3 linked regions of the Stegostoma tigrinum genome follow. The protein of the gene in region 3 binds, or shares a complex with, the protein of the main gene of each other region. Links are inferred from orthologs where the notes say so. Each region holds a gene or a part of one and is shown on either strand. Other genes may lie near its edges. The genes, in order: drc3, ccdc135 and fbxl13.

What was found.
Region 1: fbxl13 (region 3) and drc3 share a complex: the UniProt entries of both Homo sapiens proteins name them as parts of the nexin-dynein regulatory complex. The link is inferred for Stegostoma tigrinum from reciprocal best matches to the Homo sapiens genes FBXL13 and DRC3.
Region 2: fbxl13 (region 3) and ccdc135 share a complex: the UniProt entries of both Homo sapiens proteins name them as parts of the nexin-dynein regulatory complex. The link is inferred for Stegostoma tigrinum from reciprocal best matches to the Homo sapiens genes FBXL13 and DRC7.

What each region holds. Positions count from the first base shown.
Region 1 is NC_081376.1:20,124,196-20,135,368, reverse strand, and holds the start of drc3 (dynein regulatory complex subunit 3), read right to left. Parts: upstream 4,585-11,173; 5' UTR 4,455-4,584; exon of another isoform or gene 4,315-4,454; intron 3,504-4,314; exon of another isoform or gene 3,255-3,503; intron 304-3,254; exon of another isoform or gene 301-303; 5' UTR 287-300; coding exon 127-286; intron 1-126. Other genes in the region: tom1l2 (TOM1-like protein 2), read left to right, coding at 4,771-4,822. UniProt on the Homo sapiens protein: Component of the nexin-dynein regulatory complex (N-DRC) a key regulator of ciliary/flagellar motility which maintains the alignment and integrity of the distal axoneme and regulates microtubule sliding in motile axonemes.
Region 2 is NC_081363.1:81,620,997-81,631,462, forward strand, and holds the start of ccdc135 (dynein regulatory complex subunit 7), read left to right. Parts: upstream 1-6,143; 5' UTR 6,144-6,229; intron 6,230-10,466. UniProt on the Homo sapiens protein: Component of the nexin-dynein regulatory complex (N-DRC) a key regulator of ciliary/flagellar motility which maintains the alignment and integrity of the distal axoneme and regulates microtubule sliding in motile axonemes.
Region 3 is NC_081378.1:23,972,213-23,983,276, forward strand, and holds the start of fbxl13 (F-box and leucine-rich repeat protein 13), read left to right. Parts: upstream 1-5,905; 5' UTR 5,906-5,926; coding exon 5,927-6,001; intron 6,002-11,064. UniProt on the Homo sapiens protein: Substrate-recognition component of the SCF (SKP1-CUL1-F-box protein)-type E3 ubiquitin ligase complex.

The sequences.
Region 1 (11,173 bases), on a different chromosome or scaffold from region 3:
ATACATTATTTTTCAAATATGTATGTAAGATGCAATTGTGTATTATCTGCAAATTGTTTTATCAATAACACAATCTATGAACATCCTGTTTATCTAGGTCATAAAAGATGATGATCTAAAGCATACTTCGGTAATCCAGTTGAAGATTTTTTACATCTTTGAATTCAATTCCTTCTAACTGGGCTATTTGCCCAGCTTTTCCTGGTGGCCCTTGTTTCTTCACTGCCTCTTCAAGCATTTCATCATCAATTACACTGGGCTCAATTGTTTTATAAAGTTGACTCATCTTGAATGGTGTATCTACTTAAAAGAGAGAAAGGTATATTGGTTAAAATAAATAATCATTTCTTGCATTACATTATTATGAACTGACAACGAATATCTGGTGTTGCTGCAACTATCAATAGTTGTCATGTAGAACATTGTAAAGAGGCAAAGCAAAAGCTTGTCTCCCTCAGATATTTTCATACATCTTTTAACGGATGAGTAAACAACTCTACTTGTGAAAGATTCACTCTCCGCTTACTTGAAAATGGAGGCAAGTGAAATAATTGGTATTTCCAGTTTTTTTTTAAATGAGGCAACAACAAACAGTAGCAAATTGCAAGAAATTCAAAAGCTACTTTAAGTTTTATGCATTACTAAAAATACGCAGTAGGATTTGTCTGCCTTCAATTTCCTCAGTATTTCCTAGTCAGGGAGTAGAAAAATGTATCTATTATGGCAGTCTTGCTGTTGAACTCTGAGAAACATTTATTGGTTTGATTAATAACTGTGCTACTTAATCCAATACTGAAACAACTCAAAATTCTACAGATGCTAGCAATCTTAAATAAAAACAGAAAGTGCTGGAAATGCTCAGCAAGTGAGGCACTATCTAATGTGAGGTTCCCGACTTCACAGATGTTGTCTGATCTGAAATTTTGTGCATGGGAAGTTGTGTGTCACAAATTTGACTGAGTTTTTATGAGGACGTAAGTGCAGTGATCAATGCTGGGTCCACTGTTCTTCATCATTTAAGGATATGATTTGGATGAGAATATGGGAAGCATGATTAGTAAATATGTGGATGAAACTAAAATTGGGGGTATAATTGAAAGTGAAGAAGGTTATCTAAGAGTACAACAGGATCTTGATCAGCTGGGTCAATGGATGGATGGAGTTTAGATAAATGCAAGGTGTTGTATTTTGGTGAGCCAAGCAAGGGCAGGACTTACATTGTAAATGATAGGGCCTGGGAAGTATCGTCAAACACAGAAACCAAGGGGTTCAGGAACATTGTTCCTTGAAAGTGGAATTGCAGGTAGATAGGGTAGTTAGGATGATGTTTGGCACACTTAACTTTATTGATCAGACTCCTGAGTACTCGAGTGGGAACACTGTGTTCCAGCTGTACAAGATGTTGGTGAGGCCCTGGTATAGGAAATTTGTGATTAAACTGGAAAGTGTGCAGAATAGAATCACAAAGATGTTGGTGGGGCTAGACGGTTTCAGTTATCAAGGAGAGGCTGAGGCTATTTCCCTTGGCACATAAAAGATCGAGGGATGATCTTATAGAGGTTAATAAAATCATGAGAGGCATGGATAAGATGAATAGCAAAGACATTTTCCCTTGGGCAGGGAAATTCAAAATTAGAGGACACAGTGTTAAGGTGAGCTGGAAAAGATTTAAAAGGGACCTGACGGGCAACTTTTCACGCACTGGGTGGTGCATATATGGAATGAACTGCCAGTGGCAGATGCAGGTACAGTGACAACATTTACAAGACATTTTGACAGGTAGATGAATAGGAAAGGTTTAGAGAGATACGAGGTACACACAGGCAAATGGGACTAGTTCAGTTTGGGAAACCTAGTCAGCATGGATGATTTGGACCAGAGGGTCTGTTTCTGGCTGTATGACTCTATTTTCTAATGTCCAATGAACATGATAGCAAGTTCTACAGGCCAGGTAAGGTTGAAAAGTTAAAACCATGATGAAACTTTATGATTTGTGGCAATACTGGATAAGTTGGATTCCAGGGTGAAATCTGGCTTGATAGATCAGAAGTTTCATTCTTGCTATTCGTTCATCATTGTGATCATTGATCATGTTCGCAAGGTTACCAAAGTACTTTTAACAAAAGAACATTCAGGGTTATTAGAAAAAAAGGAACAAAGCACTAACTACTACACTACTAACATTACACAATAATTATTTAAATGGTCTTATTACAAATTTTAAAAACATTCTCAATGGCAACCTTACAGATATATAAAGTTTATTGAAGATCACATGATCTCCACATTAACATTTAACATTCATTTTTCAGTTGGCATGGCTATAATTCATTTCTGGAGTTTTCTTTTTACTAACTTCTAAATCACTCCAGATTTCTGTTCTTCTGCCCTCATCTGTTTTGGAGAATCCTAAACAACATTGCTGATGCTATAGGCCTTTTCTCTCCAAATGGCCAGCTTGTTTCATTGACTTTCTAAATAAACTTATTCTGTCTCTTGTGTTATGGGTACTTTGTTCCATGGAAATAGCGCCACATTTTTCTGTCTTCTTGTTTTGCATGCACTGAACTATTTGGCTGAAGGTATACTCAATTCTGAAGCTAAAAATCAATCTATTTTTAATGAATGTAAATAAATCTTCAGACAACCATGTACCATCCACAGAATTCAAAAATGAAACTGAAGCTATGTCTTTCACTTCTTAATACACACAATTCAGATCTACAAATAAAACTGATGTCACTGAGAGCTCAAGATAGTTGAGTTATGGATGAAGTGTAGGCATACTGGCAGAAAAGAGGTCAGCTCTATGGAGAGCTAACTTATGCAAATAAGACATTGGAGAGATGCTGGTCAGGATAAATAATAGAGGACAAAGTTCATGGTTTAAAGTTGTTAAGTCAATTTTGATTACTACAAGCTCTAAAGTCCCTCAACAGAAAATGTGGTGCTATTCCACCAGCTTGCATTAGGCTTCATCGAACATGTGATCTCCTAGATTCTGCCACAGTTGCAACTGTGATATTTGAAGGAGCAGATGGATGGGATGTTTGGAGCTTTGTACACTACCTTTGATACCTCATCTCCATTGTTGTGCATTCCTGATAAGTTCTCTCAATATCTTTAAATAAAACAAAGACTTGTGGAAACTAGAGAGCTGGAACAAATAAAAACAGAAAGTACTGGAGAAACTCAGCAGAACTTGCCACATCACTACAGAGAAAAATAAGAGTTCATGTTTCCAGGCTACTCACCATTTGTAAGAACAGGCAAAAGGTTTCTGAACTCAAAAAAATGTTGATACTATTATCTCTCCACAGATGTTGCCAGAACTGCTGAGTTTCTCCAGCACTTTTTGCTTTTCTCGACGCTTTTCTGGGTATTTTGGTCACTCACAGCTGAGGGCTCACAAAATTCTGCTGTGGTGCTGGAAGTCTTCCGTGTTAATCAAATTCTCAGTGGACTAGTTGTCTTGGGGATCTGGCGTTGGCTGTAGGAACTGCCTAAAACAAAACCAAGTATGCATACTGAGATTTGAAACAAACAAAAACAGAAATAGTTGGAGAAACTCAGCTGATCTGGCACGATTTCTGGACAGAAATCAGAGTTAATGTTTCGTGTTCTGTGACCCTTCAAAATTTTAAGCAGTTAGTTGTTTCTAGTTATAAAGAAGGGTCACAGGACTTGAAATTTTAACTCTGTTTTCTCTCTACAAATGTTGCCAGACCTGCTGGGTTTCTTCAGCTATTTTCGTTTGTGTTTGTTATAGAAACTACCCTCAGAGAGCAAATTCCATCTCATCTTTGTCTTAAGTAGCACTTCTTTTGCACATCTTCAGATGAAAATTTGAGTGAATATAGATCGATTAGCCTTTTTGAATTTTAGATGCAATATAATCAAAGGTGTTAGCAATTCGAATTGTCCACTTTCGATTTAAGTATTTTAGGTTTGTATTAAGTGCTCTTGGTTTGGAAATGTACAATTTCATCAGAGGACGCGGTGGAGGCGGGTACAGTTACAACATTAAAAAGTCATTTTAATAGGTATGTTAATAGGAAAGGTGTAGAGGGATAAGAGACAAATGCCAACGAATGGCAGTAGATCAAATTGGGATATTTGGTCAGCACGGACGAGTTGGACCGAAGTGTCTGTTACCATGCTGTATGACTATGTCGCAGCCAGTCGAGTTGGTTTTGAGTGATCAACATTCACCACTGGACGTACAAATGGAAGAGCTACTCAAAGAAGACATTAGCAGTTTAATCTGTTGCGGACAGAAACACGACCTACCCTATCAACAATTTGAACTTTTACCTGTATATATTCAGCTACTTCTACTATATTCCTTGACTGTAGCCTGGCTGGGCAGAGCTTCACTCGGTTGCTAGGATAAACATCACATGACCTAGGCCCCCACCCTCTTCAGTAGCAACATCGTGAGATAGGATTCGTACCGGTTCAACTACTAACTGTAGCGTTGTACAATAAAAGAACATGTAAAACAAAATCACTCGTTTTAAAATATAATTTTAACGATGGAGAGGCAAAATAATCATCCAAAGACGAGAGCGAACTTGACTTGACGGGACGCCTGACAGACTTGGCGATTGACCAATAACCGTATGGGATATGTTGGAGAAGGCGGGGACATGCGCGCTGTTGGCCAATCAGTGAGAGAAAGGAACGGGCTTCAGCTCGCACCATCAAGCTCGGTTGAGGCGAAGTTGACGTCACCCACATCCATTGGATGTTTGTGGAGGAAGCGTCAAGATGGAGTTCTTCATTGGGAACCCGTATAGTACTCCCGTTGGACAATGTATAGGTGCGAGCCTTGTAGTTTACAGTCAATCTTAAAACATAATCTAGTTGTTTTGTAAACGTTCACTTCATTTCTTAAGTATTATAAATATTTGTCTCGTTTTGAAATTAATCTCTTCGGAATGCCGTGTCATTTTTCTGGCATTTAATTTGCTTCACAGTCTGCTTGATTTTTTTTCTTTAAAAAATGCCGCCGGGAAAGTAATTATTTTAAGTTATTATAAAACTGATACGTGAATGTTTTTCAAGGATTCGCACAGCCTAAAAGAAGAGGTTTCCGCGCCCCCCCCAAAAAAATAAGTGTTTGTTTACACATTTGCAATGTCATTTAAAAGCGACACGGTTCAAGGTGGCTTATGTATCATTATTTTACATATGGGTGTTGTAAAGTTCTTCAACTGCTTACACATTGGAATTTAGCTGTCAAATTGCCCTGTCTACTTTGAGTCCTGCCTCATACAACTTGCGCCTGACATCAGCGAGTACGGTTTGTGATAATGTATTCCTTTCGTTGTTTTGATTTTATTTTTCTAGTGGTATCCGCTTTCCGGCAAACGAAATAAAATGCAGTTTTGACAGTTGAATGCAAGCACTTACCTAAGATCTAGAATTGCAATTTGGTTTCTACTAATTTTGTTGCAAAATGTCGAATGACACATGCGTATAACACAGTACTCATCACGCTGGTCTGTTCTGGCTGATTGCTCCAAAGTACTACTAACTTGCTAAGTGAGCTCTAGTCAACACCGAAAATGTAACACAAAATGCAGATTCATTTGTAAGTTTTTCTTCGTCAAAGTTGAATCATCTGTTAAATAGATCAAAAATAAATAATTTTTTGTTTGAAGATAACTGATGTAAATGAAGGCTTAGGTGTGTTATTTAATGGAAATACATGATCTATTTGATCTTGATGGATTTTTAATACAAAATTTACTAAATTAATGATTTGATATCTGTGGAAGATCACCAGACATGAAACGTTAGCTCTGATTTCTCTTCACATATGCTGTCAGACCTGCTGAGCTTTTCCAGCAACTTCTGTGATTGTTTCTGATTTCGCAGTTCTTTCAGTTTTTATTAAAGATTCGTAGACCTTGTTGGCACCAGTAGTGTTTGGGCTTGTTAAGATTCCTAAAACTAAAATAATGTTTTTTTCTTTCAGCTTGTCTTTTTTTCTTGTTGGTACATCTGTGCCGTGTTTTGTACCTAAATGAAATTTTAAGCTGCCTAGTTTGCTGAAAGATAGCTCAGTTCAGTAGATATCCAAATCTATCTTAAACAAAAAGGATGCAATTTTAACCAATTGTTTTTAGGTTGTGGCAGCCATTTTTACTTTTGTTCTGGTTAAGTATATAGTTATGTATATAATCATTATAATGCAAGGAAATTCTAATTCTTTGAATTAATTTCCAAGCTTTATATATTTTGCTTGAAATGAAAAAGCATTTTTTCCCTGTTTTAAGTGGGTTTAATTTTTACTGTTAAACTGGCATCCTCTTCACAGACAACAAAATTGTTGCTGTGAGAAATGGAAAATCCCACTGGAGGTTGCAGAAGAATTGGCCATTGAAGATTGAACTTGATTTTTTGCAGCAGTGCATATACTTGCTATACAGTGCTTGATCATTGATCCCTTGTGGCAAGGGAAGAAGGATATTTGTTTTGTCTTGCAGACCCATTTAAGCTTGATATAACAACTGGATACCAGAAAGAGCTCTATTTGTTAGTGATATTTGAGGCTAATACATACCTGAGTACAAAAGCTCATTGGAAGAACCCCAAGAACATTCTGAAACTAATGAAAGTGATTAAGCAAAATTTGATTTTGTATCCAATATGCACTTGTGCATTGTTTTACTTGACTTCTCAATGATCCATGTTGCACCAAGTGTTTGATAATTTTGTGTTGGCAACAAATAAATTTAATATATAGTCAATTTTGTGACCTTTAATAATTTCCAGGAAATGAGTTATTGCTGAAGATATTAGCTGCTAATACATAGGAAATACAGAATACATTCTGTGCATAGCAAGGTCATCCGAAGCAACAGTGTGGTGATTACCAGATAATGGTTTGGTGGAATTGGTTGAAGTGTAAAGTTGACTTGGACACCAGGGTTCTACTCTTGGTATTAAAAATAATGTCATTGAATAATTTGAAGTACACTTGAGAGGACATGTCAAATTACTGTGTAAATCAAAAATGGCACTTTCCTCAACTGCAATGAGGTACACTGTAGGTTTTGTATTGTCCATTGGGACTTGAATCCATGACCTTCTGATTCCAGAAGTGAAAATGCGAACACCAAACTGCAACTGATGTCCAAGTTTTCAGTCTGTTCCTAAATTTGAATGTCGTTACCTGCAAATAACCATCCTTTAACCATTTTTGAAAAAGTAATGAGTAGGGTAGACCAAGGAGAGCCAATGGATGGTATCTAGCTGAACTTCAAGAAGGCTTTTGATAAGGTACTACATAGGAGGCTGCTGAGTAAGATAAGTGCCCATGGTGTTAGAGGCAAGGTGTTAGCATGGATAGAAAATTGGCTGTCTGGCAGAAAGCAGAGAGTGGGAATAAAGGGGTCTTTGTCAAGATGGCAGCTGGTGACAAGCAGTGTTCCACAAGGGTTAGGGTTGGGACCACAACTTTTTACTTTATACATTAATGATCTATATAAAGGAACTGTCAGCACTCTGGCTAAGTTTACAGATGATACAAAGATAGGTGAAGGGACAGGTCATATTGAGGAGGTGGGGAGGCTGCAGAGGGATTTGGACAAGTTGGGAAAGTGAGCAAAGAAGTGGCAGATGGAATACAACATGGGAAAGTGTGAGGTTGTGCACTTTGGTAAGAAGAATAAAAGCATAGACTCTTTTCTAAATGGGGTGAAAATTCAGAAGTCTGAAGTGCAAAGAGACTTGAGAGTTCTAGTCCAGCTAAACTTGTAGGTTGAGACAGGAGTGAAGAAGGCAAATGCAATGTTGGCATTTATTTTGAGGACTTGAATATAAAAGCAGAGATGTACTCCTGAGGCTTTATAAGGCTCTGGTCAGGCCACGTTTGGTGTATTGTGTGCAGTTTTGGGCCCCGTATCTCAAAGGATGTACTAGTCCTGGAGCAGGTTCAGAGGAGTTTCACAAGAATGGTCCCAGGAATGGAAAGCTTAACAAATGAGCAATGTTGGAGGACTCTGGGACTATGCTCATTGGAACTTAGAAAGATCGTGTGGGGCGGGGGGGGGGGGGGAATCTAATTGAAACTTAGACAACACTGAATGGCCTGGACAGAGTGGATGTTGGGAAGATGCTTCCATTGGTAGGAGAAACTAGGACCCGAGGGTACAGCCTTAGAATAAAGGGAAGTCCTTTTAGAATGAAGATCAAGAGAAACTTCTTCAGCCAGGGAGTTGTGAATCTATGGAATTCACTGCACAGGAGGCTGTGGAGGCCAGGTCATTGAGTACCTTTAAGTCTGAGATTCTTAATTCTCAAGGCTTATGGGGACAAAGCAGGAGAATGGGGTTGAGGAACTTAACTGCCATGATTTGAATGGCAGAGCAGACTCGATGGGCCGAGTGGCCTAATTTCTACTGCTATGTCTTATGGTCTTATTAAGTTCGTTAGTACTTTTAACTAAATGGTGTGAAACTGCTGTGATATAAAAAGTGATAATGGGAACTGCAGATGCTGGAGAATCCAGGATAATAAAATGTGAGGCTGGATGAACACAGCAGGCCCAGCAGCATCTCAGGAGCACAAAAGCTGACGTTTCAGGCCTAGACCCTTCATCAGAGAGGGGGATGGGGTAAGGGTTCTGGAATAAATAGGGAGAGAGGGGGAGGCGGACCGAAGATGGAGAGAAAAGAAGATAGGTGGAGAGGAGAGTATAGGTAGGGAGGGGATAGGTCAGTCCAGGGAAGACGGACAGGTCAAGGAGGTGGGATGAGGTTAGTAGGTAGGAGATGGAGGTGCGGCTTTGGGTGGGAGGAAGGGATGGGTGAGAGGAAGAACAGGTTAGGGAGGCAGAGACAGGTTGGACTGGTTTTGGGATGCAGTGGGGGGAGGGGACGAACTGGGCTGGTTTTGGGATGCGGTGGGGGAAGGGGAGATTTTGAAGCTGGTGAAGTCCACATTGATACCATTGGGCTGCAGGGTTCCCAGGCGGAATATGAGTTGCTGTTCCTGCAACCTTCGGGTGGCATCATTGTGGCACTGCAGGAAGCCCATGATGGACATGTCATCTAAAGAATGGGAGGGGGAGTGGAAATGGTTTCCTCTACATTGGGGAAACCAAGCGGCGGCTTGGGGACCGCTTCGCAGAACACCTCTGCTTGGTTCGCAATAAACAACTGCACCTCCCAGTCGCAAACCATTTCCACTCCCCCTCCCATTCTTTAAATCACACGTCCATCATGGGCCTCCTGCAGTGCCACAATGATGCCACCCGAAGGTTGCAGGAACAGCAACTCATATTCCGCCTGGGAACCCTGCAGCCCAATGGTATCAATGTGGACTTCACCAGCTTCAAAATCTCCCCTTCCCCCACCGCATCCCAAAACCAACCCAGTTCGTCCCCTCCCCCCACTGCACCACACAACCAGCCCAGCTCTTCCCCTCCACCCACTGCATCCCAAAACCAGTCCAACCTGTCTCTGCCTCCCTAACCTGTTCTTCCTCTCACCCATCCCTTCCTCCCACCCCAAGCCACACCTCCATCTCGTACCTACTAACCTCATCCCACCTCCTTGACCTGTCCGTCTTCCCTGGACTGACCTATCCCCTCCCTACCTCCCCACCTATACTCTCCTCTCCACCTATCTTCTTTTCTCTCCATCTTCGGTCCACCTCCCCCTCTCTCCCTATTTATTCCAGAACCCTCACCCCATCCCCCTCTCTGATGAAGGGTCTAGGCCCGAAACATCAGCTTTTGTGCTCCTGAGATGCTGCTTGGCCTGCTGTGTTCATCCAGCCTCACATTTTATTATCTGTGATATAAAGCGGTCGGGTTTTCTGGCTTCTTGTGGTAACACTATCCTATTTCCAAAAACACATTGTCAGTGAGGATGGAAACTACTTTACTTTAATTGGATGTGGAGAGCCGAGGAATTTCCCATTTGCTGCAGTTAAATCTTTCTTTTCCTCCTTTGGCAGAATAACTCTGAATGCTTAGAATTTCCACAGATGACTGTGTATTTAAAAAGTCAGGTTATCACTGGCGCCTTAGTATTATGCAGTGCAGTTCATCTCACGAATTTGTACTAAGAAACTCGTTCTACTTAGTGAAGTGACAGCTGAAATCTAGTTTTTTTTTCAGTTAGATGATTTTTCATTGTAGTCATCTATCTGTAAATTTTACAGGTTTTTTTTAACTTGTCACAGTATCATGGCTGTTAGACTGCAAATTTGACATTTATTTTGTGGACATGAGAACTGTTGGCTGCTGCCAGAGGTGACTGTGGTTTAGATATTTGAAAAAAAATCCATCATTCACTACTGCAGGACTTGTGAATTTGTATTCTGCCCTGTGTTTCCAACGTAGTATACCACTGATACACTTGGAACAATCTATCTTCTAATCCTTCCTGAATTACTTGCTAATCTAGACTGTCTGTGACCAAGATGGTGTCTGGGAAGATATGAAAGCTGTCACAGTGGTATAGAATTTTCTGTTTTTGATGTTGCACACAATCATCCTGGCCACATAGTTAGGTATAGAAATTTGTTGCAAACAGTAACTCCTACGACAGAAATTCTTTGCGTCAGTACTAATTATTCAGTCCAGTAAATCTACCCACTTTTTAACTTGGAAAAAACAGCAGTTAATTAATTGAGCTGCACATGGGCTAAACTATCAGTTTACGTGGTTGTTCCTGACACACAGCAGATGTTGGCTTCATTCTCTTGAAATTTATTTACTCTTCGCCATTTTAGTGTAGCTAAAATCAATAAAGCTTTGGACACTTTCATTCTTTTCAGAAGTATTTATGATTTTTGTTTAAAAATGCCACTTATTTCTAAATAACATGGTTTGGTTTGATATCTTTGTTACATATTGCCAGAATGTTGGCTTGTTCTAGTGATTTGCATGCTGCTGTTGCAATTTTGTAATTTGTTTGAAATTGGAGCTGCATTGGCAATAGGAGGCTAATTAGTTGAACCCGAGTAAAACCAGCTGCTTCAATGAGTTAATTTAATTGAGGTGGAAATTCTACAGATATCGTGGCAAACCGCATTGCAGGATTTGTGCGGTACAAAACATGGTTACCACAAGCATTCTAACATTCTTTATGTATTTTCATTTATCCCCCATCATGCCTCTCTTATCTTATCCAAGTTGGTGTAAAATCAGGAA
Region 2 (10,466 bases), on a different chromosome or scaffold from region 3:
TGCCACCATGAGCAGTGAAAATGCTCTCACTCTGGACACCAGGGCAATATTCCTCTGCCAAACTTGACCAAACTGCCTATGCTCTTCCAAGGACAACAGGCATATTCTTCTCAGTGATGAAAAGGATTCAAATCTCTGGAATGGAAGCATGGGTAGGGAAGGAACATTCTTCTCTTTCCCAATGTGCAGAACATGTGATCATCATCCCCAACACGCTTTCACTAGAAGAGCAAGTAAAACATATGGTAACACACATGGTGCAAACGTTAGTGAGTTCATCAATTACATAATTGTCCATGCTTAGAATTACAAAGATGTCTTACCATCAGAGCAATGACAAGAGTTGATGACTGCTTCAAATCATACCAATTCCAAGGTGCTTTAGGGAGGTAGGGTGGGTATGGAGTGGGCAGAAGCTTTCAATCTTCAGTCAAGAAAGAGGCTGCGCCACTGTAGGTTATTCTCTTTGAATGACTGAGAGACCAGCGTTTCCGTGGGATGCAGCTGTGTTGTCTTATTGCTTTATACTGTTGTTTTAGTTGCTGTCTTGAAATTTGATCGTTTAAATTAAAACAGTCCTTTGAGAATTGTTCTGCTCACCTTAAGATATCAAGATCAGATCTTCACCAGCAAGTCTCATCTTGGCAACACCCTGTTCTACTTTCAAAAGTCCCACTGGTTCTGTCCCTTTCCATTCAAACAGAAAACAAAATTCTGTAAGCATTCTGAGATAGTAGGAACTGCCGATGCTAGAGTCTAAGATAACAATGTGTAGAGATAACTAGGTTCAGAAGGCCTTCCTTCTGAAAAAGGGTCCAGACCCGAAATGTCAGCTTTCCTGCTCCTCTAATGCTACCTGGCCTGCTGTGTACATCCAGCTCTACACCTTGTTATCTGTAAGCATTCTACGTGGTTGTTAACATCAAATAGTGCTTCTCTACTTTTGACAACAATAGTTCTTATGTCAACTACAGCATTATTTTCCTTGTCTTTTCTTCTCAAAAAGCAGCTGTCTTTTTCTGAGTGATACTTCGTCAAGGTGTGGAAATTGTCAGTAGGCTTCTGTCTGAGTTTCTCAGCTTCTGGCGATCAACTCACACTAGTGTGTCTCTGCATGGAGGTGTTTGCCATTTCTCACAAATCCTTTCTTCTCCCCATTTGCAAAATGTTCTGTGCCACCTTAAATTTAAAGGGGCATTTTAAAACATAATTGTCTTGAAAAGATATCTAGACTTCATAACACCAGGTTCTTGATGTTTCTCATCCTCATCTGATCCTGGTTAAAGCATAAATAGGCCAGTAAAAGAAAGCCAATGAATGAATGTTGAGGAATCTAAATTTGATTCCGTCAATTTTAATTTAGAATTTGTCTTCTGGATTCCTTAAATTCTTAGGCTGCAAATCCCAAGGTCCTTAAAATGGTGAGGCTTCTGCAGTATGGAAAAGTTACACAATACACTATTTAGACATGGTGTATATCTAGGCCAAGTTTCACAGTGCATGGAGGTATTCTGTCTTTAATTAACATACAGTTTATCATCAATGTTTGTGTGATGGACAGTGGAACTTAGGGTCTCTTGTGATGCAGTGTAGTGTCTCTGCCTCTGAACCAGAAGGACCTGGATTCACGTTTTGCTTGGTCTAGAGATATACAATAGAATTCGGAACAGGTTGATTAACCTGTGGGAAAGCCTCGATTATCTGACTCTGATGTAGACACTCTCAACAAAGAGCTTGAATATCATAGGAAGGCAAGTAGTTCATTATTTTCCTGAACTGAGTTGAATACAGGAATTCCAACATAGTTTGGAAGATCTAAACATGTTAAGTTGACTGATGCTAATCCAGTTCACTCACAATGAAATCCCCCAAAGCATTGGCATTTTAACCAGCAGACCGTTGCATTCAGTCCAGACTAGAATCACATGCCCTTTCTTGGGATTTATGTTTAGGAATTACAGTCAACCTTTCAAGAAGTCAATAGCATCACATAATACTTTGTGCCTTTTCTCTTAAATGTCACAGTCAGTTTTCAGAACTAAAGCCTGCCAAACTAAACAAAAACAGTGATGCAAAGTGACTTCAAAAGGAAACTGTGACTATTGGGGAGGTCCATGACTGAAGTCTGAGGACCTTGACCAATTCTCCTTCGACCTGTCGAATTTGGGGAGATGCTGAAACAACAGCTTACATTTACATTAGCACCACAACTATCATTAAACAATCCCAAAGCACTTCACACAAATGTAATCAAACAAAATTCGACAATGAGCCACTAAGGAGATAGTAGGAAAAATTACCAAAATCTTGCTCAATGAGATAGATTTTAATAAGTGTTTTAAAGACAATGGGAAAAATGGAGCACTGCAGGGAAGAAATAGAACCCACTACTGATAGTTGAAGGCACAGCTGGCAAACATGAGTTATTATAAACAAGGATCCCCAAGAGACCAGAAATGGGAGAAAGCAGAAGTCTCTGGGAATAGATTGAAAATCAGACAGGCATGTATCTTCAAAACAGTTACATGATGTTATGACATGTAACATTCCAGCACAAAGGCATCAGCCTTGCTTTCAGTCACTCACTCAAGACAATAGTTTGTTCAGCCAGTCAGTTACTCAATGTACAATGAAACCTTCTTCAAGTCCCATCTGAACCTCCTGCCCTGACCTCAAAATTGTGCCCTTTGGTTATTGATACCTGTACTGAGGAGAAAGATTTCTTCCTGTCCACCTTATCTATGTACCCTAGAACTTTGTATACTTCAGTCAAGTCCCCACTCAGCTTTTTCTGCTTCAAGGAAAACAACCTCAGACTATCTAATCTCTCTTCTTAGCTGATTTAGTCCAGCCCAGGTGACATCCTGGTGAATCTCCTCTGCACCCTCTCAAGTGTAGCCACATTCATCCTATAGTATGGCAACCAGAACTGCACATAGTACACCAGCTGTGGCCTAACTAATGTTTTATATATCTCCGTAATAAACTCCTTGCCCTTGTATTCAATGCTTTTGCAAATAAAGGTAATTATCTCTTATGTCTTCTTAACCATCTTATTTTTTTTCCTACTTCCTTTAAGGATCTATTTTTATGCACACAAAGGATGCTCTGATACTTTGTACTTCCTAGGATACTACTATTCTTTGTGTACTTCCTTACCAGGTAGTCCTCCCAAAATGCATCATTTTTCACTTTGGAGGATTAAATTTGATTTGCCACTGATCTCCCCATCTGTCCTGTTAAATGCTTTCCTCCTTGCTATTTATCCTACCACTAGTTTTTGTGTTATCTGCAAACTTACTGATTAACCACCTGCATTCATGTCTAGATCATTAACGTACACTACAAACAGCGAGGGATCCAGCACCAAACCCGGTGGTATGTCATTGGACACAGGCTACCAGTTACAAAAACACTCTTCAACATCATTTTCTACTTCCTGCCATGTAGCAAATTTTGGATCCAATTTGTGAAATTGCCTTGTAGGATGTTTGCTTTTAAATTTCTTTACCAGTCTGCCATGCAAGAACTTATCAAGGGCCCACCTGCAGTCCATGTAGACAACATCAACAGCTGTACCTTCATCCAACACTTAGTAACCTCCTCAAAAAAATGCAGTCAAATATGATCTCCCCTGACAAAGCCATGCTCATGAGCCTTGATTAATCCTTATCTCCCCAAGTAGAGATTATTTCTGTTCCTCAGAAACTTTTCCAATAGTTTCCCACCACTGATCTTAGACTCTGGCCTGTAGCTTGTTTATCCCTACTACCCTTCTTGAATAATGGTATTACATTAACAGTCCTCCAGTACTCTGGAATCTCTGCTGTGGCCAGAGAAGATTCGAAAATTAATGTCAGGGCACATTGTAATGTCCTCCTTTGTGTCCCATGGCAACCTGATATTCATTTCATCTGTGCTTGGGGATTTATCTACTTTCAAGACCACAAAAACTGCTAATACCTCTTTCTCAGTGTCAATTTGTTCACATATCACTGTCGCCCTCCCTGATTTCTATGCTTACCTCGTCATTCTCTATAGTGAATCGAGATTCAAAGTAATCTTCTAAATCCTCAGTTATGTCTTCCGGCTCCACATGTAGATTGCCACTTTGGTGCCTAATTGGCCCTACTCTTTCTCTTGTTAGTTTCTTCCCCCTAAAATACTCAAAAAAACACCTTTGGATTTCCTTAATGCTACCCGCCAGTGCCTTCTCATACTCCTTCCTCGTTCTATTATTCTTTCAGTAACTCCCTCTCAATACTCTTCCAGGTCACACATTGTTTTCAGCCTTTGGTATCTGCCATAACCTTCTTGTTTGTCTCCCCTCATCCAACTCTACACATCAGGTTACTCTGGGCTTGTAGTTTCCACCCTTCACCTCATGGGAATATGTTAGCCTTGTGCTTTCATGTTTACCATTTTAAATGTCTCCCGCTATTTTCTTGCAAGTAGCTGCTCTCAGTTCACTTTGGCCAGATCCTGTCTTATTAAAATCAGCCTTCCCCATTTCAGAACCTTTAGTTCCAGTTCATCTTTGTCTTTATTTGTAATTACCTGGAATTATGGTTACTATCACCAAAATGCTTCATCATTGACATACCTTCCACTTGCTCAGCTTCGTTCCTTCAAAGTAAATCCATCGCCATCCTTCTGAATCAGACTTGCAAAATGCTAGCTTAAGTAATCTGCCAGACACATTTTAAGAATTCTATCCCCTCTAAGCCTTTCACAGTTAACTGCTATGTGAATTGACTTTGTCTGTCTGGCAGATGGGAGAGTGAAAATTGTCATATACATTAAGCAAAATGAAATAACAATGAAAGACCTCTCTGCATACTGGTGTGAAAAAAATCTAGGAGCAGGAGTTTCCAGGAGCAGAAGTAGTAAACTCAGCTCCTCAGACTTGCATTGCCATTCAGTACAATCATGCCTGATCTCAACTATCCCTCAACTCCACTTTCCTGTTCACTTTCCATAATCCTTCAATCAAGTACTAATTAAAAATCTGACGAGTTGCTCCTTAGATTTATTAATCTAACCTCTCATCTTGTTGGTCTCAGTAATCTTATCCTGCTAGCCAACACTTCTTTGGAAATTGGGACTTTCTTTGCTTTTGATATCCAGAAGCTCCTCCCTATCAATTTTTCATGATTTTTCCGAGTTTGAGGAACACCCCTGTTGTTCAGCGCTAGGGAAGTTTGTGCCCCAATGTGTCTTGGGAGATAAAATGATAAAGATAAGGGAAGCTACGTGCACATATGTTGTTGAAAATAATTATTTTTGCATTGGTAGGGTTTTGAGGGCGGCATCAACACCCCACCTCTGTCATCTCACCGTAGGAAAAATCAAGTTGTGGTCAAGATCATCTCTTAAAGTGAACAATCTGTGAGGCCTAATTGGCCTGAGCAGGAAGCCACCAAACATGCACTGTCTGTCACCCAAAAGCTACCACCAGCAATTTATGAAAACAATTTTAAAATCTGTTACCACGTGTCCTTTTTCCTGGCTAGTCTCGACCATTTGTAAACTTGAGCTCATCCAAATTCTATTTCCCCTATTCCCATATCAAAACCCCTTCCCCCTCATCCCTTGCATTTAGTGACCTACAGTAGCACCCGCTCAAGTCACATCTTGACTTTAAATTTCACTTCCATGTTTTCAAATTTATCATACCCTTGCTGTTCCTTGTCTCCATAATCTGCTCTGTCCACACAACCCACAGCAAGATATCCGCACCTCTTTATTTCAGACCTCTTGCGAAGCCATAATTTTAATCAATTATTCCTGCAGTTAACTTGGCCCCGAGCTCTGGAATATCCATCCTAAATCCATCCACTCATTCATTAAAACCTACCTTGTTGACAAAGCCTTTGGTCTCCTAACTTGATATATTATGTGGTTCTCGTTGTCATGATTTATCTCACAGTCCCCCCTACCCTGATGTGTTTTGTGATGTTTCATATTAAAGGTGTTATATGAATCTATGTGGTTGCTATTGTTGTAATCTCTGGCCTGCTGTCTTGATAGTGGTCTCAGTTTTGACCGGAAAAGACTACAATGCCCAGAGTGTCCTGCCTGTTGCCATGGTTGTTGCTAGGGACTGGTTGCTAAGCACTGGTTGCTAATTAAACTGGTTTCCAATCAACATCACAGGCCTGAGGCACTTGCACCTTCAAGGAAAAGCCTCAGAAAAAGCGACAGTTTAGACTGTTTGAGAAGCACAAAGGTAAAGGATCATCATTAACATTATTTCAATTTATTATGTATTTATTCTGTGTACTTCTTCACACAATTTTTAATTTGGTGCATGAACAAACTAGTTGTTCTTTTTACTTGTAACCTAGGAAGGTAGCTCAGTCTAAAAGTGCTGAGAGTGTGTAGTTGCACAGAGTTTGATCTTGACAATATAAAGAACAAGTTTCTACAAATAGGGAGGAAGTGGTTCATTTTTGCCGCTGTTTCAGGAATAAATGAGAGAGATAAGAGAAGCTATGTGCACCTGCATTTTTGAAAAGGATTATTTTTGAATTGATAATTACTCACCTTAATTTATGGGGTTTGAGGGTGGCACCAGCTCCCAGCGGGACCCCTAGAAAACAATCTGGCTCTTCTTCCAGGGGGAGAATGATACCAGGCGGTCTTTTGCACCCTCTGGAGAAGGCTTCGGTTTAGCATCTCATCCCGAGAACAGCACCTCTTGCTCTTGACTGAGCCTGGAGTGTCAAATTAGCTTATCTGCTCAAATCTCTGAAATGCCCTGCACCAAGAGGAAGCCGCTGATATTGCCACAGCTTAGTGCCTGGGCCACTGACCTCATCACAGGGAAACGAGAGGAAGTGGTGTGATCTGACAGAAGTTGCATAGGTGACAAATTGCATTTGTGAGTCAAGGATTGAGAGATTTCTGGCAGGTCCTCAGTGGTTCCTTGAAAGGAGTCATTCGCATAAAAGTTCAATGCAACTATCACCTTGAAAACCATCAGGACAGGATACCATGCACTCCTTCAGGTCTCACACCGGATGAAATTAACATGAAAATCCCACCTTCTCAACCTTACTCCTCACCTTTGTTATAGTGCAACAGTAGTGGCAATAATCCTGGTGTGACTGGATTCATCAATCACATTTCAAAGCATCTATGCCAGGAACATAAGAAACAGAATAGGCTTTTCATGATAAGAGCAATCAGCCTTCATATCCGTCACAAATGACCATTTGGCACAGTCCTCCATACAGTGAGTCATGGAGCACTCCAACAAAGAAGGCCAAGGAATGCCTCTCCATGACCCTTTGGCTTATTTCAGTAATGCACCTCCAGTAATGACATAAACAGAATACAGGAGATTGTACGTGCTGCATGACTATTGAGAAGTTGTCCTCCCAACCCCACTTCTCCTAAGAAAGGCGCCATTGCATATAAGATCACATCAACGAATACCTGCGGGTCAAGGTGATAGAGAATCAGTTTCATGCCCTTGTGCAGCCTTTGCCATTTAGCAGTATTCTGTGCTGAAGGTCACCTGTGATTACTTCTGCTTCACAAAGATGACTATCTTCAATCTACAACAACAAATGACATGGTCAAGATTGCTTGTGACCAGCACTTGTACCCCATACTGTTGCACAGGATGCATTTCACGTGCATGACATTATGATCATAGATAACATCAACCTGCACTAATTGCCCCATCAGTGCAGTTATACCTTGAAAGGCCTCAGGTTATTCACAAATGGAACCCATGTGTGGAGACAGAGTAAAACCTCTGACTCTACTCTGGATGTGGTTGCACCAATATTCTGTTTGCACTTCGCATCGAGGGGTCAGTTGAATATTGGACTCAATACAGGTCATACTTGGCACAGTGAGTCTTAGGCTCAGCCTGGTAATCAAAGGGTGCAGCCGAACCTCCATGTCACTTTCCTCCTATGATCCCCAGCATTGAGTTCCTCAACTTCCCTAGCACAGTCTTCCCTGATAAAACCACCGTGCTCTGTTGACTTTCATTCTGTTAATCCTCAGTACTGATCATGGTCTACCAGCTGATTGACTTTAAAGGGCAGCCCAACTGATGACTGACCGGACCCTTTAATGATCTGTGTGCAGCCCACCACCCCCCTACCCCCCCCCCCCCCCCCATTAACCAATTGTGAAACTCCTTACTATTTCTATGGGATCTGCAGGACTGAATGTGGCTTTCTCCCCAGACTTCAGTGAAATGGACCCTTGACTATGTCTGCCCCAAGCAGGCAGCTGACTGTGATCAAGCCCCTGGACTCAGATTAGGTGATGCCCTTGTCTTACTGTACTGGGACCCGCTGGCTGACTTGAATCAGAACCACTCTTTGAGGTAACTTATGCTGGGTGTTTCTCCTGACCTGGGAGGCCACACTGACCCAGGTGGCACCCTTTAACCATTCAATATTTACCATCTGCTGGAGTGTAAGGATTCTCCCAGACTTGCTGGAATCAATTCCCAGGTACTGACCTCATTAATGGCCAACATCTACCAAGCTGGTGTCATGGCCTCCTCTGGTCCTTGGGGGAAGAGGACAGTCTTCTTCTGTTAACCCAGTCAACCAGGCCCTTCAGGTCCCTGTCTGCAAAGAGTGGTCTCATTTTTCCCTTGGGCCATCATTTTTCCCTTACCCGCCGTGTCTGGAGCAAATAATCGTGCAGGACAGCTCCAGACCGACCATGTGCATAATGGCCTTGAAGTCATAAATCACATCCTGAGACAAACAGACAGGCAGGAGACCCATGGGGGGAGAAACTTTTAAAAATCATAATCAACAGAGAAAAATTATGACGAAATCAAATGGGACTGAAGTCTTATAGGTTCACTGGATTTGATCGCCTGTGTCAGAGGGTCTAAAACGAAGCAGCTTCAGAGATAATGGATGCATTTGTTGAAAGTTTCCTAAAAATTCCTGGATTCTTGAAGCGGTCCTAGCTGATTGTAAAACCCGAATGTAAAATCTCCAGTCAAGAGACCAGTGAGGTAGAAAGTAGAAAATTAAAGATCACATAGAATCTCATAAAAACCTATAAAATACTAACAGGACTGGGCAGGATAAGTGCAGGAGGGATGTTCCTGATTATCAGGTCGTCCAAAACCAGGGACACAGTCTAAGGATATGGGATTGGCCATTTAGGAATGAGATTAGGAGAAATTCCTTCACTAGTGAGCCTGTGGAAATCTTTACAACATAAAGACATTGAAGCCAACATGCTGAATGATTTCAAATAGGAGTTCGACAATTTTTCAAGCTGAGGGGTTCAAATGTTATGGGGACAAAGCGGGGCCTGAGTACAGAGTTGGATAAACAACATGAACATATTGAATGGTGGAGCAGGCTCAAAGGGCCGAATGGCTCTTGTTTTTTATGTCTCAATTAGTCAGACTAAGTATCCCTCACTGGGAAAATTCTGGAATCCACTATTAAGAATGTAATGGCCGTGTTAGAATACTTGCTTATTTTTCATCATTTTTACTTTATTCTTTTATCAATTTTGGTTTGGAGCTATGAACTGAGAACTATGAGCTGAAAATGATCTGCGGGCTGGGCAACTGCAAGTGTTTTAAAAAAAAAATGAAGAAACAAACAATGGTTTCTTTGTGAGGCCAGACCTGAATGTGAATTGATCAACAGGTTCTACTGATGCTTCATACCAGGGCAAAGTAGTATTTTAAAAAGGCAGATGTTGGCCATTAATGAGGTCAGTACCTGGGAATTGATTCCAGCACATCCAGGAGAAGTCTTACATTCCTGCAGAAGTCAGATATTGAATGGTAACTATGGGGAGACAGGATTTCTGACAGGGAGAAGCCATAGTTTTGGATTGTGTTTTCTGTGAGAAGGAGTTTGGCAGTTGATGCCACAGTGTGAACATTCAAAAGCTCTCTACATAACCCTCCCATTATCAGCTGTTGGAAGTTAAGAGAATAGAAGCTGAGTTGTAAGTAATACTGACTTCCTGCAGAGGGGTGGTGGAGAGAGATGGGGTAGGGGAGTTGAGTTTAGGTGAAGGCTAGGGTAAGTTGGAGGGTGGGTGGGGTAAAGTTTTCTATCATTGAGAGTGTAGGCAAAATACATTTGCATTTCAAAATACATTTTGAGCCTTATTGAGGCTCACGATTCATCAATAATTTTATCGGAAAGCCCAGTGTGATACGTTTGGTAAGGGTCATACCTCGGGAAACCACCCACCTTCATTCCCTACTCAGATACATCTTAATAGGCCATAGACCCATGTTTTCCAACATGTTGGCAAAGACTGGGTTTCCTTCTCGAAACTGAACTTGCCTCATGCCTCTTGTCTCTGAGGACAAAAGCAGACCATGTAGTTTATAAAAGGATTTTGGGCAAAAGAATGGCAGATGGAGCATTATGCAGGAAAATGTGAGGTTTTACATTTTGGTAGGAAGATTTGGAAAGTGGAGTATTATTTAAGCAGTGACAGAA
Region 3 (11,064 bases):
TGTGATAGCCCGGCATGGGTATGAATGCAGTTAAATATTGTCAAAGCTGCTGGATCTGTGCAAAGTAGACTACAGGAAAGGTAATTAAAATCAAAGAGCCTGTGGGTGAAGCATTGAAGATAGGAGCAGGAATAGGCCATTCATTCATTTGAGCCTGTTCCACTATTCAATATGATTATGACTGATCATCCTCTTTAGTACCCTACTTCTGCTTTCTCCCATACCCTTTGATCCCTTAAGAACTATAACTAACTGCTTCATGAAAATACCAAATGATTTGGCAGGGAATTCCAGTGGGTCACCACTCTCTAAGTGAAGAATTTCTTTTCATCTTAGTCCTAAATGGTCCCATATCCTTAGAATGTGATCCCTGGTTCTGGACTCCTTGGTGATCAGCAACATCCTTCCTATTTTCTTCTGTATCTAATCCTGTTAGAATTTTACAGGTTTCTACAAGAGAATATTCAGAGATTTCAAGAGTGGTAAGAATGTAACTTCTTTTACTTCTCTTTATCTCACTTTTTCCAAAATTGGAAAATAGATTTTAGAAATAACGTCGAGCTGATGAAGTGTGAAAAGAATAATAATTCCAAGCAGTGGTGAGAGTTGGTCAGTGAGGTGGGAGGAGTGGATAGGTGGGAGAGAAGGCGGACAGATCATGGAGGCGGGGATGAGTGAAGGAACTAGTCTTGGGATGAGGCGGACGGGTGGGGAGATTTTGAGGGTGGCAAAGTCCATATTGATGCCATTGAGTTGGAAGCTCCCGAGGCGGAATATGAGGTGCTGCTCCTCCAGTTTCTGGGTGGTGTGGTTGTGACACTGGAAGAGGCCCAGGATGGACATGTCGTTCAGGGAGTGGGAGGGGGAGTTGAAGTGATGCAATGATTTGGATATGAAAATAGAAGGTGTGGTTAGTAAGTTTCCCAATGAGTGAAGGTGTAGTAGCCAGCCAAGAAGGTCACCTCAGAATACAATGGGACATTGACAAGGGCCAATAAACTGAGGAGTGGCAGATGGAGTTGAGGTTAGATAAATGTGAGGTGCTACATTTTGGAAAGGCAAATCAGGGCAGCACGTATACACTGAAGTTTGTGGGGAGTGTTGCTTAATAAAGAGACGCTGGAGTGCAGTTTCGTAGTTCCATCAAAGTACAGCCACCGGTAGAAAGGATATGAAGGAGACATTTGGTGTGCTCGCCTTTATCGGTCAGTGCATTGAGGATTGGAGTTGGGAGATCACTTAGCAGCCATATAGGACATTGATTCAGCTGCTTTTGGAATACTGCCATCGATTTTGGTCTCCTTGCGAGAGGAAGGATGTCGGCGCAACAATGAGGGCCGAAGGGCCTGTTCTGTGCTGTCTTGTTGTATGTATGTATGTATCATCCCTCATACTTCTAAACCCAAGTGAACGTAGTGTTAACCAGTTCAGTCTATCTTCATACAACAATCCTACCATCCCAGGCATCAGTCTAACCTTTGTTGCATTCTCTCCATGGCCAGAACATCATTCCTCAGATAAGGAGACCAAAACTGCACACAAAATTCCAGGTGTAGTCTTACTAAGACCCTGTGTAATTGCAGCAAGACATGCCTGCTCCAGTACCAAATCCTCCCTGCAATGAAGATCATCATATCATTTGGCTGCTTCACTGCTTACTGCACCTGCCTGCTTACTTTCAGCAACCTGTATACAATTTTATTCAGGTCATTACACTATCCCCTTTTCCAATCTATCACGCCTCCTCACTCCATATATCAAAATGCTCAAGAACTACACATTCTCTCTTCCCGAATTCTGTACCTATATTTTCCTCTTCCCTAGTGAAGACAGATGTGAAGTACATTTAATACTCTACTAATGTCCTCCAGCTCCATGCACAGATTGCCCTCTTGGTTCCTAATAGGCCTTACTCTTTCCCAGGTTATCCTCTTCCCCTTAATATACTTAATGAATACCTTGGGATTCTCCCCAGCCTTACTGGCCAATATTTTTTCAAGACCCCTTTTGTTCCCCTCATTACTTTAAGTTTCACCCACACTTTCTACACTCCACCATGGCTGCTGCTCATTTATTCCCATGCACCTGCTAAAAGCCTCTCTTTTCCTTCTTCTACAGTTCTGGATATCTCTAGATGTCCAGGGTTCTCTGGATTTGTTTCTCCTTCATTTCACCCTAAAGGGAACATATTGAGCCTATACTCACCCCAAATCCTTTTTGAATACCTCCCCTCCCCACACTGCTACCTCAAACACCTGTCCGGCTGCGATTCCCAGAACTATGTCCAACACAGCACCGTCCATTGTTGGACCTTCTATATGTTGGTATGACAATGATTCCACTTGTGGTTATTATTTTATTTGCTCATTTAGTTTGAAATATGCTGCACGCTACTTAATGATACTGCTATGATCCAGTTCCAGACTGTCAAGTTTATGTCATGATCTGGCTAAGGACCTGTAACTTATATTTTCAACATGGACAATATGTGACATCCAGGGGACTCATTCTGAGAAAAAGGCCACAAGACTCCACAATAACGACCATAAACTTTACTATACAATGTTAGAATAGTGATACAATCTACAATATGTTCGGCTTATTTCTAACACCCAAAATTAACATGTGATAAATAGGGGTAAGCTATTTTGATCGCATATCCTCAACGAACATCAAGTAGCAAATGCAATCCAGACAGATACCATGGATTTCTCAACAATTCCTTACAGATGTTAATTACACACTGGGTTTCCAAATCTCATTATACGTCATAAGGGGTTACAATTATGGATTCTTGCTGATCTGGCCCTGGAATTCCCTCTCAAGAATCATTCAGACATAGACTGCCTCAACAATTGCTCCTGTTCTGGTCAATCATCATCCTTTCCTGCATTTGCATCCCACTTTCCTCACCTTCCAACCATGAAACTGCCTTCCACTACTCATTCAAAAGCATAATTCCAGCTCCTTACCAAAGGAACTTCAACAAACTCAAACTGCCCAAGGTTTTTTTATTTTCTCCCCAAGCTCTAAGCTAATTAGACAAGAGCATGTCAGAGAGCAAAGTAACTCTGAAGAATTAACCTGCATTTATTTTGATGCAACATGTTTTACAGGTGAGGCTAATGAAGGCATCATAGCTATTACAGAAACTTAGCGGAGGGAAGGACAGGACTGGCAGCTCAATGTTCCACGTTTTAGATATTATAGGAAGGATAGAAAGAGAGGCAAGACAGGAGGGAAAATCACATTTTTGGTGGAGAGAAATCTTTCGACTGTAATTAGAGAAGATATTTTTGAGGGGTCATTTAGTGAAAACATATGGGTTGAACTAGGATTAAGAAAGAGATGATCACCTTGATGAGATTGTACCATAATCTCCTCAACAGTCACAGAGAAATTGAGAAGCAAATATGTAGCAAGATCTCAAATATATGTAAGAATAATAAGGCTGTAATCATAGGGGATTTATTTTTCCATAACATTGACATGGAATGCCATAATGTTAAAGGTTTGGATGGTGAAGCATTTGTTAAATTTGTTCAAGAAAATTTTCTTTATCAATATTTAATATTCCTACTAGAGAAGGAGAAACCCAGCAAAGATCCTCAGATGGCACCTTCTAAACCTATGTCCACTTCCATCTAAAAGTCAAGCCGATACATGGGAACACCACCACCTTCAAGTTCGCCTCCAAGCCACTCAGCATCCTGACTTGAAAATATATTGCCATTCCTTCACTGTTGCTGGGTCAAATTCCTGAAATTCCCTCTCTAATGGCATTGTGTGTCAACCCACAACAGCAGGCCTGCGGCAGTTCAAGAAGACAGCTTACCAATAGCTTCTCAAGGGCAACTAGGAACAGGCAATAAATGGTGGCCGGCCAGCGACACACCCTTCCCATGAATGAATAAAAAAGCCTTGACCTTCTCTTGGGAAATAAGGCAGGTTAAGTGACTGAATTGTTAGTAGGGGAACACTTTGGGACCAATGATCATAACACTATTAGTTTTAAAATAGTTAAGGATAAGTCTTCCATAGAAGTTAAAGTTAATAATTGGAGTAAGGGTATGTAACAAGAACTTTCAAAAGTTGATTGGGATAGGCAAAGGGAGGACTGACAAGCCGGAGGCATTCAAAAGTGTGATAACAAGAGTTCAGAGGTATTATGTACCTGTTAGAGTGAAAGGCAAGACTGGTAAGATTAGGAAACAATGGATGAATAAAGATATTGAGCTTCTGGTCAAGAATTTTAAAAAATCATATATTAGATATACAGAACTGGGATCAAATGAATCTCTTGAAGAGTATAAAGATTTTGTTGTAGTGTAGGAGGTTGTGGTGTGATATCATTGAGATTTATAAAATCATGATGGGCATAGATAAGGCGAATAACAAAGGTCTTTTCCCTCGGGTGGGCGTTGCCCAGTTACCTCCCTTGACAACAGTTATTGGCTCAGCAGTCTCATAGCAAGTGGATTCTTCTGAGCCCGCTCTGCTCCCAAAACGTCTGGGAGCCTTCACCACACAAAACTATTCGACTCCTCTGGGAATTCCCTGAGCCCTTACTGTACAAAGCCTGGGTAGTTCAGCTGCCTTTTACCGCACTGCTTAACACATTGCATGCTTCTTTTCTTATCTGTCTCCTTCTTAAAATAATTGTAACCTTGAGCTCCTACATGTTGATTGAAAACCTTGCAACAAACCTTTCTCTAAGTGTTGGTGGAATTGAATTTTGCCACCTCTTGCCAACTTTTGGAATGTCTGTTCTATAAATGTTACCAGTCATAGATTGCTGATTTAGTACAAAAAATGAATACAGATAGAAAGCACAGCATTAATTGCCTTTTTTTCTTATTCTCTCATAGATGTTTGTTGCCCATCTGTAAATACAGTAAAAACTGTGTGGCTTGCAAGTCACTTCAGTGGGCAAGTGAGAATAACCCATTTTTATGGGTCTGAAGTCCTATGCAGGCCTGATCAGCCAAGAATGGTGGATTTCTTTCCCTAAAGTACATGAATGAATCAAATAGGTTTTTACAACAATGATAATTTCATGATCACCATCATTGTGACTGTTTTTTAAAAAATCTGGAATATAAAGTTAGTTTCCGCAGTGTTAGCCAGTACTTGGATTGTTGTAAAAGTTACCATATAATGTCATTGTTGAACTATAATTTTAATAAATAAGGAAATTTGGACATTTTTCATGCGGTGGGCTACTATGTTACGCATCTACAGTGCATTGTAAAGTAAGCTGCAAAGGGAGTCACTTGCCTAATTCGTGATTTTTGTCAGAAATGTTTCATTGTGGTTAAGGCCAATTGTTAGACGTGCTAACCAAGTTGAATTTACAATATATCAAATCGGCTCTGATAAGTGGACTAATTTATTTTCTCCAGACGCCGATGAGAGTTTATTTCGGACAGTAATGGATTTTGTTTCAAATTTTACTTATCCCAATCGACTGATTTGCAAGTTATAGATCTGCCTCCGTAGCGTCTAACGTTGAGCGAGGAAGTATAGCACAGACGTCGTGCATTTGAACTATGTCGGAGTCTTCTCAAACTGATCTCTGATGAAGGGTTTAGGCCTGAAACGTCAGCTTTTGTGCTCGTAAGATGCTGCTTGGCCTGCTGTGTTCATCCAGCTCCACACTTTATTATCTCGAATAAACTGTGGATTTTCCCTGGGGGGGGGGGGTGATACATGTTGAGTAGGTGCGTTTGAAAGGGATTGTGAATTTTAAAAAGGTAAAAGAGCCCGTCACCAAGATTGGAAATCTCTAAATACGGAATTCTGGCTGTGGAGCCGTTGCGGTGGCGGTTGGTCTTTCCTTTTCAAAGCTTGTTACTATGGTGACAGTAAACAGGCGGTGTTCACGAGCGCTTTCGCCTGACAGTGAAGCTGCGCTCGAGCTGCTGCTATGGTGTTCTTAAAGTTCGCAGATCCCGTGTTGAAAGACTACATCAAATCACATTCACTCCCCCAGATTTATGAGGTAATTCATTGCCTTTTCTTTTTTAAAAAATCCGCTTTGCATTTGGTACGTGTGTTGGAAATATTGTTTGTCCAGCGTTCAGCCGGATAGAAATAATGCGGGAAAAAGTCACAGCAAACTGAACGAAATCACTGTAACCAGTGTAAAGTAAGCACCTACGTAAAAGTTTAAATTATACTGCCGCCATCTGACAACTAATTAGCACTTACACGTTTATATCACATTAGCAGGTTTAATTATAGTTATTCGACATATTCAGACATTAATAAAAGACACGCATTTGTATTGTGCCTCCAACGACTCTCGGTCGACTCGTTGAAATGCTTTTGAAATATAGTTACTATTGTAATGGCCGGAAAAGGCAGACGATTGGCGCACAGTAAGATTCCACAAACAGCGCAGTGTAACCGAACAACCAATTCTTTTTCTCAGTATTTAATTGCTGAAGGTTGAGTAATCGCCAGAACACTGGAGAAAATTTGGAGCTCTTCATCACGAAAAAAAAGATTTAATGTTGCACTAATAATTTCGTAAAATATTCAAAGGTTCATTCCAAAATATTTCGAATTGGATACTGATGAAAATGCTGTATACTATAATTTTCCCCCCATTGAACATGTTTCATTCTTAGATGTCTCAACCCAATGCGCGTGACATTTGCTCTATGCATTCAGTGGCAAGCATACGGCCCAAGAAGTCCTGTAAGTCACCAGCTCCCTGTTTCACTGCAGGCGAAAGGTTTTGAAGCACTACAAGCTTAATGCAATTTTTAACGTATAACCCTGGACCTTGGAACTTGTCCATATGGAACATTCTGTTGAGGATAACTTTTTGCATTGGAATGCTACCAGGATTTGGACAGAACGAGAAAGTGCTTTTCATCATGATCTTTGCCTCAGTATGTGCCTCCTGAGAACAACCCGTGGAACATAAAATTCTGCACTATAGATCTGCACAGGATTTACATTAACAAAATCACTATCTATCCCCAGATCTTCCTTGCAAGGGCACATTCCAAAAGGAGATTTGCAATGCTCTCTTAGTCACCACAACCATTTGAAGGATTGCGTGGAATGCAGAGACTTCAATCATGCATGAATGAACAATCTGATAGGCAGTGCCCATCTTACTAAATAACTTTGACATTTCTGCTCAGAAACCATCTGACAGGATCAACTATCTCCTTTTCTCATATGGTCATTAGTATGTTACATGCTGACCATTGCTTGATGGTCAACATGCTTTTCCGTATAATTTTTCCATGAGGGACAGGTTATATTCTATGGTTTGACAATTTGGAGCTTTATGTCACAACGTAGCCAGAACCCATGTTTTGCAATGCCAGGGACAGGTAGAATCTTAGCATGTAATGACACTTGTTGTTTGTGCGCACAGCTTCATGTAGCCACACACAAGACAGGTAGAGTGATTTTGGGTACATTTTTCCCATTTCTATCCAGAATTTTGCATATGGTATCCCTTCAGAAACAATCCACCATTGGTATCCACATAAGATAGAAGCTGGATCGGATGATTTCTGCAGCATAGATTCAGAGAACATGAAATGTAGCAACACCTGTAGTCCAAGTCCTTGCTCGCAATGGAGCAGGTATGTTGCTCTCACATATCCAGTACTGTCACACCTCGGCTGCACACTCCTCCCTGTACTTAGTATCGGATCTTTCACATTCACCAGAGAAGACAGATAAGATCTCCACTTTACATGCTGCATAAAAGACAAGACCTTCAGAGTGCTGTTAGTAATACATTGGAATTAATACTGTCTAGATTTGGTGTTTGTGTCTTTGGGTTGGAATTTGAAACTTCGCTCTTTAAATTAAGTTGATTTCTTTGGTTTAAGTTTGTAGTGAGTAGCAGTTAAAATTAAAGTAAATGATGAAAGAGCATGTTATCACGATAGTCGCCAGAATATTTCCATAAGGCAGCTACAGCCAGCACAAATGAATATCTTTTCAGAATTATGAAGTCACAATTATCTGTGTAACTGCTAGCTGTTTAGAATTACTTTGTGACAGAATTTCATTTGCTTCTGGGATTGGGTTTGTATTTTCTGAAATTTAATTACAGGCAAGTTTTTCAAGGGAACTTGATAAGATGTAATAAGATAATAAAATGTGAGGCTGGATGAACACAGCAGGCCAAGCAGCATCTCAGGAGCACAAAAGCTGACGTTTTGAGCCTAGACCCTTCATCAGAGGGTCTTCATCAGACCATCTCTGATGAAGGGTCTAGGCCCGAAACGTCAGCTTTTGTGCTCCTGAGATGCTGCTTGGCCTGCTGTGTTCATCCAGCCTCACATTTTATTACCTTGGAATTCTCCAGCATCTGCAGTTCCCATTATCTTTGATTTGTAATAAAACTTGATTTGCAATTTTTAAGAAAAGATTCTAACATCATACATTGTCTTATTGTAATGAAAATGCTTTTCTGTATGACAAAAATGTTTGAAAAACTTCAGCACAATGTTGGAGCCTGGCGATCATGACTAGGGGGAGAAGAGTCAATTCTCACATAACTCAGAAATCATTTTATTAATGCTGTTCGACAATACACATGTAGTTGCATGTTTGTTGGCACTAACCAAAAGCTAGAAGCTAGTTGTACGCCGACTGGGTTCCTTTGACATTCCCTGAGAAATCACAGAACATAAAGGCTAATACTTGGGCAGGATAGCTGTGGCATGGTGGCTCAGCAGTTAGCACTGCTGCCTCACAGTGCCAGGAACCTGAGTTCAATTCCACCCTCTGGTGACTGTGGAGTTTGCACATTCTCCCCATGTCTGTGTGGGTTTCCTCTTGGTGCTCCAGTTTTCTCCCGCAGTCCAAAGATGTGCAAGTTAGGTGGATTGGCCATGCTAAATTGCCTATGGTATACAGGGATGTGTAGATTAGGTGAGTTACAGGGGGATGGGTGTGCAGGGATGCTTTGAGGGTCAGTGTGGACTTGCTGGGCCAAAGGCCCTATTTCCACACTGTGGGGATTCTATGATCTATGATGCTGACAAGGATTGACACTGGCCAGGCGTTCTGTTCTCGTTCTTTCTCTAGATGTCATCACCATGTTCTTAATGTTGTGTTCACTTCTGCAAAGGTTAATCTCCAGAGATTTTGCTAGCTTCATGCCCAGGAGTCTTCTTCTTGCACCTTTCTTTATCTCTTTCAAGCTGTGCTGCCTCTTCTCTGTTGGCTCAGGCTCATTCACTTGTCGCATGCCTTTACCTGTAGTCTCACCTCATTATTCGTTGTCCAAATAGTTCGTAAAAACCGGTTTCAATTGGCTCAGACCTGTACCTGGACTCAGGTTATGTTTTATTTCACAAACTGCTTCTTCTATGTGTCAGCGATTTTGCATTCAGTATTTCTCTGCAGCATGTTGGCAGTTTGTAACCCTCTCTCTGTCTTTTTCTGCAGCCCCTGGCCGACATCAAGATATCTCAGTGATAATTGGAACTGCAGATGCTGGAGAATCCAAGATAACAAAAGTGTGGAGCTGGATGAACACAGCAGGCCAAGCTGCTTGGCCTGCTGTGTTCATCCAGCTCCACACTTTTGTTATCAAGATATCTCAGTTTAAGTTCACTTCACTATTGAAGGTGCAGCTGAGCTCTACCCACTTTCTTTCAGATGCTGTGTATTTTCAGCATTCCCTCATCTATTTAATCAGAATGTTTCTATTGTTGCAAAGTTGTGTAGAGTAATCATGAATTGGAAGGCAGGAATCTAGAATTTGTTTGAAAAAAATGTTAAGGGAGAACAGTGTGTGGTTCCTTTAAGAGACAAAATGCTTTCTTTTCTAAGCTTGGAGATTAATACAGAAAAAAAAGTCTCTGTTTATAGCTGAAGTTGTACAGCCAGTTCTGAAATGGAAATATGTATCAATTGGCTGTGTGATTAGAAGCCTTAGGCATGTTTTGGTGTTTTGACAACGAGCTGGAATCAGCCAATTAATTTTTACCGAGCATTTAGCGATTGAAAGCCAGTTGACTTAAAACTGATAGTTTTGACAGACTCGGACCGATGCAATTATTAAAAAAAATTATGTCATCCAAGGTAAATAAGGAGAGGGCTTTTGAAAACTGCCATCTGAGAAATAAACGCCTAGCTCACACAAGAAATAGCTAAACTCTCTAAGAAAGCACTATCTTATCCATAAAAGGCACTATGGCATTTTTAGCTAAGAGTCTTCACAGAGAAAGCATCCCTGACAGCAGGATCTGTGGAAGTAATGTGTTAATAACTTGAGAACAGCAGAAGAAAAGCGTTTATCACTGGAGAGACAGTGGAGAAATCAGAGTATTCTGGAAGACACATTCTGTGTGGTTATTGAGAGATAAAGTTTTTTTTCTTCCTACTTGGGATATATAAGTGTGAATTGTATTTATTGGAATAGCATACCAGTAGAATTTTATTCAGTTAGCGAATAGTTCAGAGTTAGGGATGATTTGTTTGGCTTGTGAGCAGTTCTGTTAATTTGTTCACTGTTAGGGTTAAATAAATAAATTTTTACTTGTTACTTATGAAGTGAATATCAGGGATTTTCTTTCATTTACCCTCCCCTTCTCCGTAACAGATGAGGCAAGGTGAGGCAAGCTTCTCTGGGTGTTTTAGGTTTAATTACTGGAAGGGACCTTTATTCCTGCTGGAACAGATTGTGGGCTTGTATTTCCATTTTAATCATCAGAGGGGTTCAACCTCTCCTTCCTAACACTACATCAATTAAAAAATAATGAATCTATTCAAAAGCAGGCTGCATGACCGAAAATGACCACCAATGTTAGATATTGGATAGCAACTTTGTAAAGTCGCTTACATGCTTGGATTTCTGCAAATTTCTTTAGATGATTTACAAAACATCTGAACAAAAATAAGGAACTGAGGATGCTGGAACTATATATATATATTGTTAGCAGCCATTTCCGCCACCTCTAACAGGATGCCACCACCAGACACATTATCCTCTCACCTCCCTTGTCAACCTTCCACCGGGGCCATTCCCTCTGGGACATTTTGGTTCACTCTTCCTCCAGTCCCAACATTTCCCCA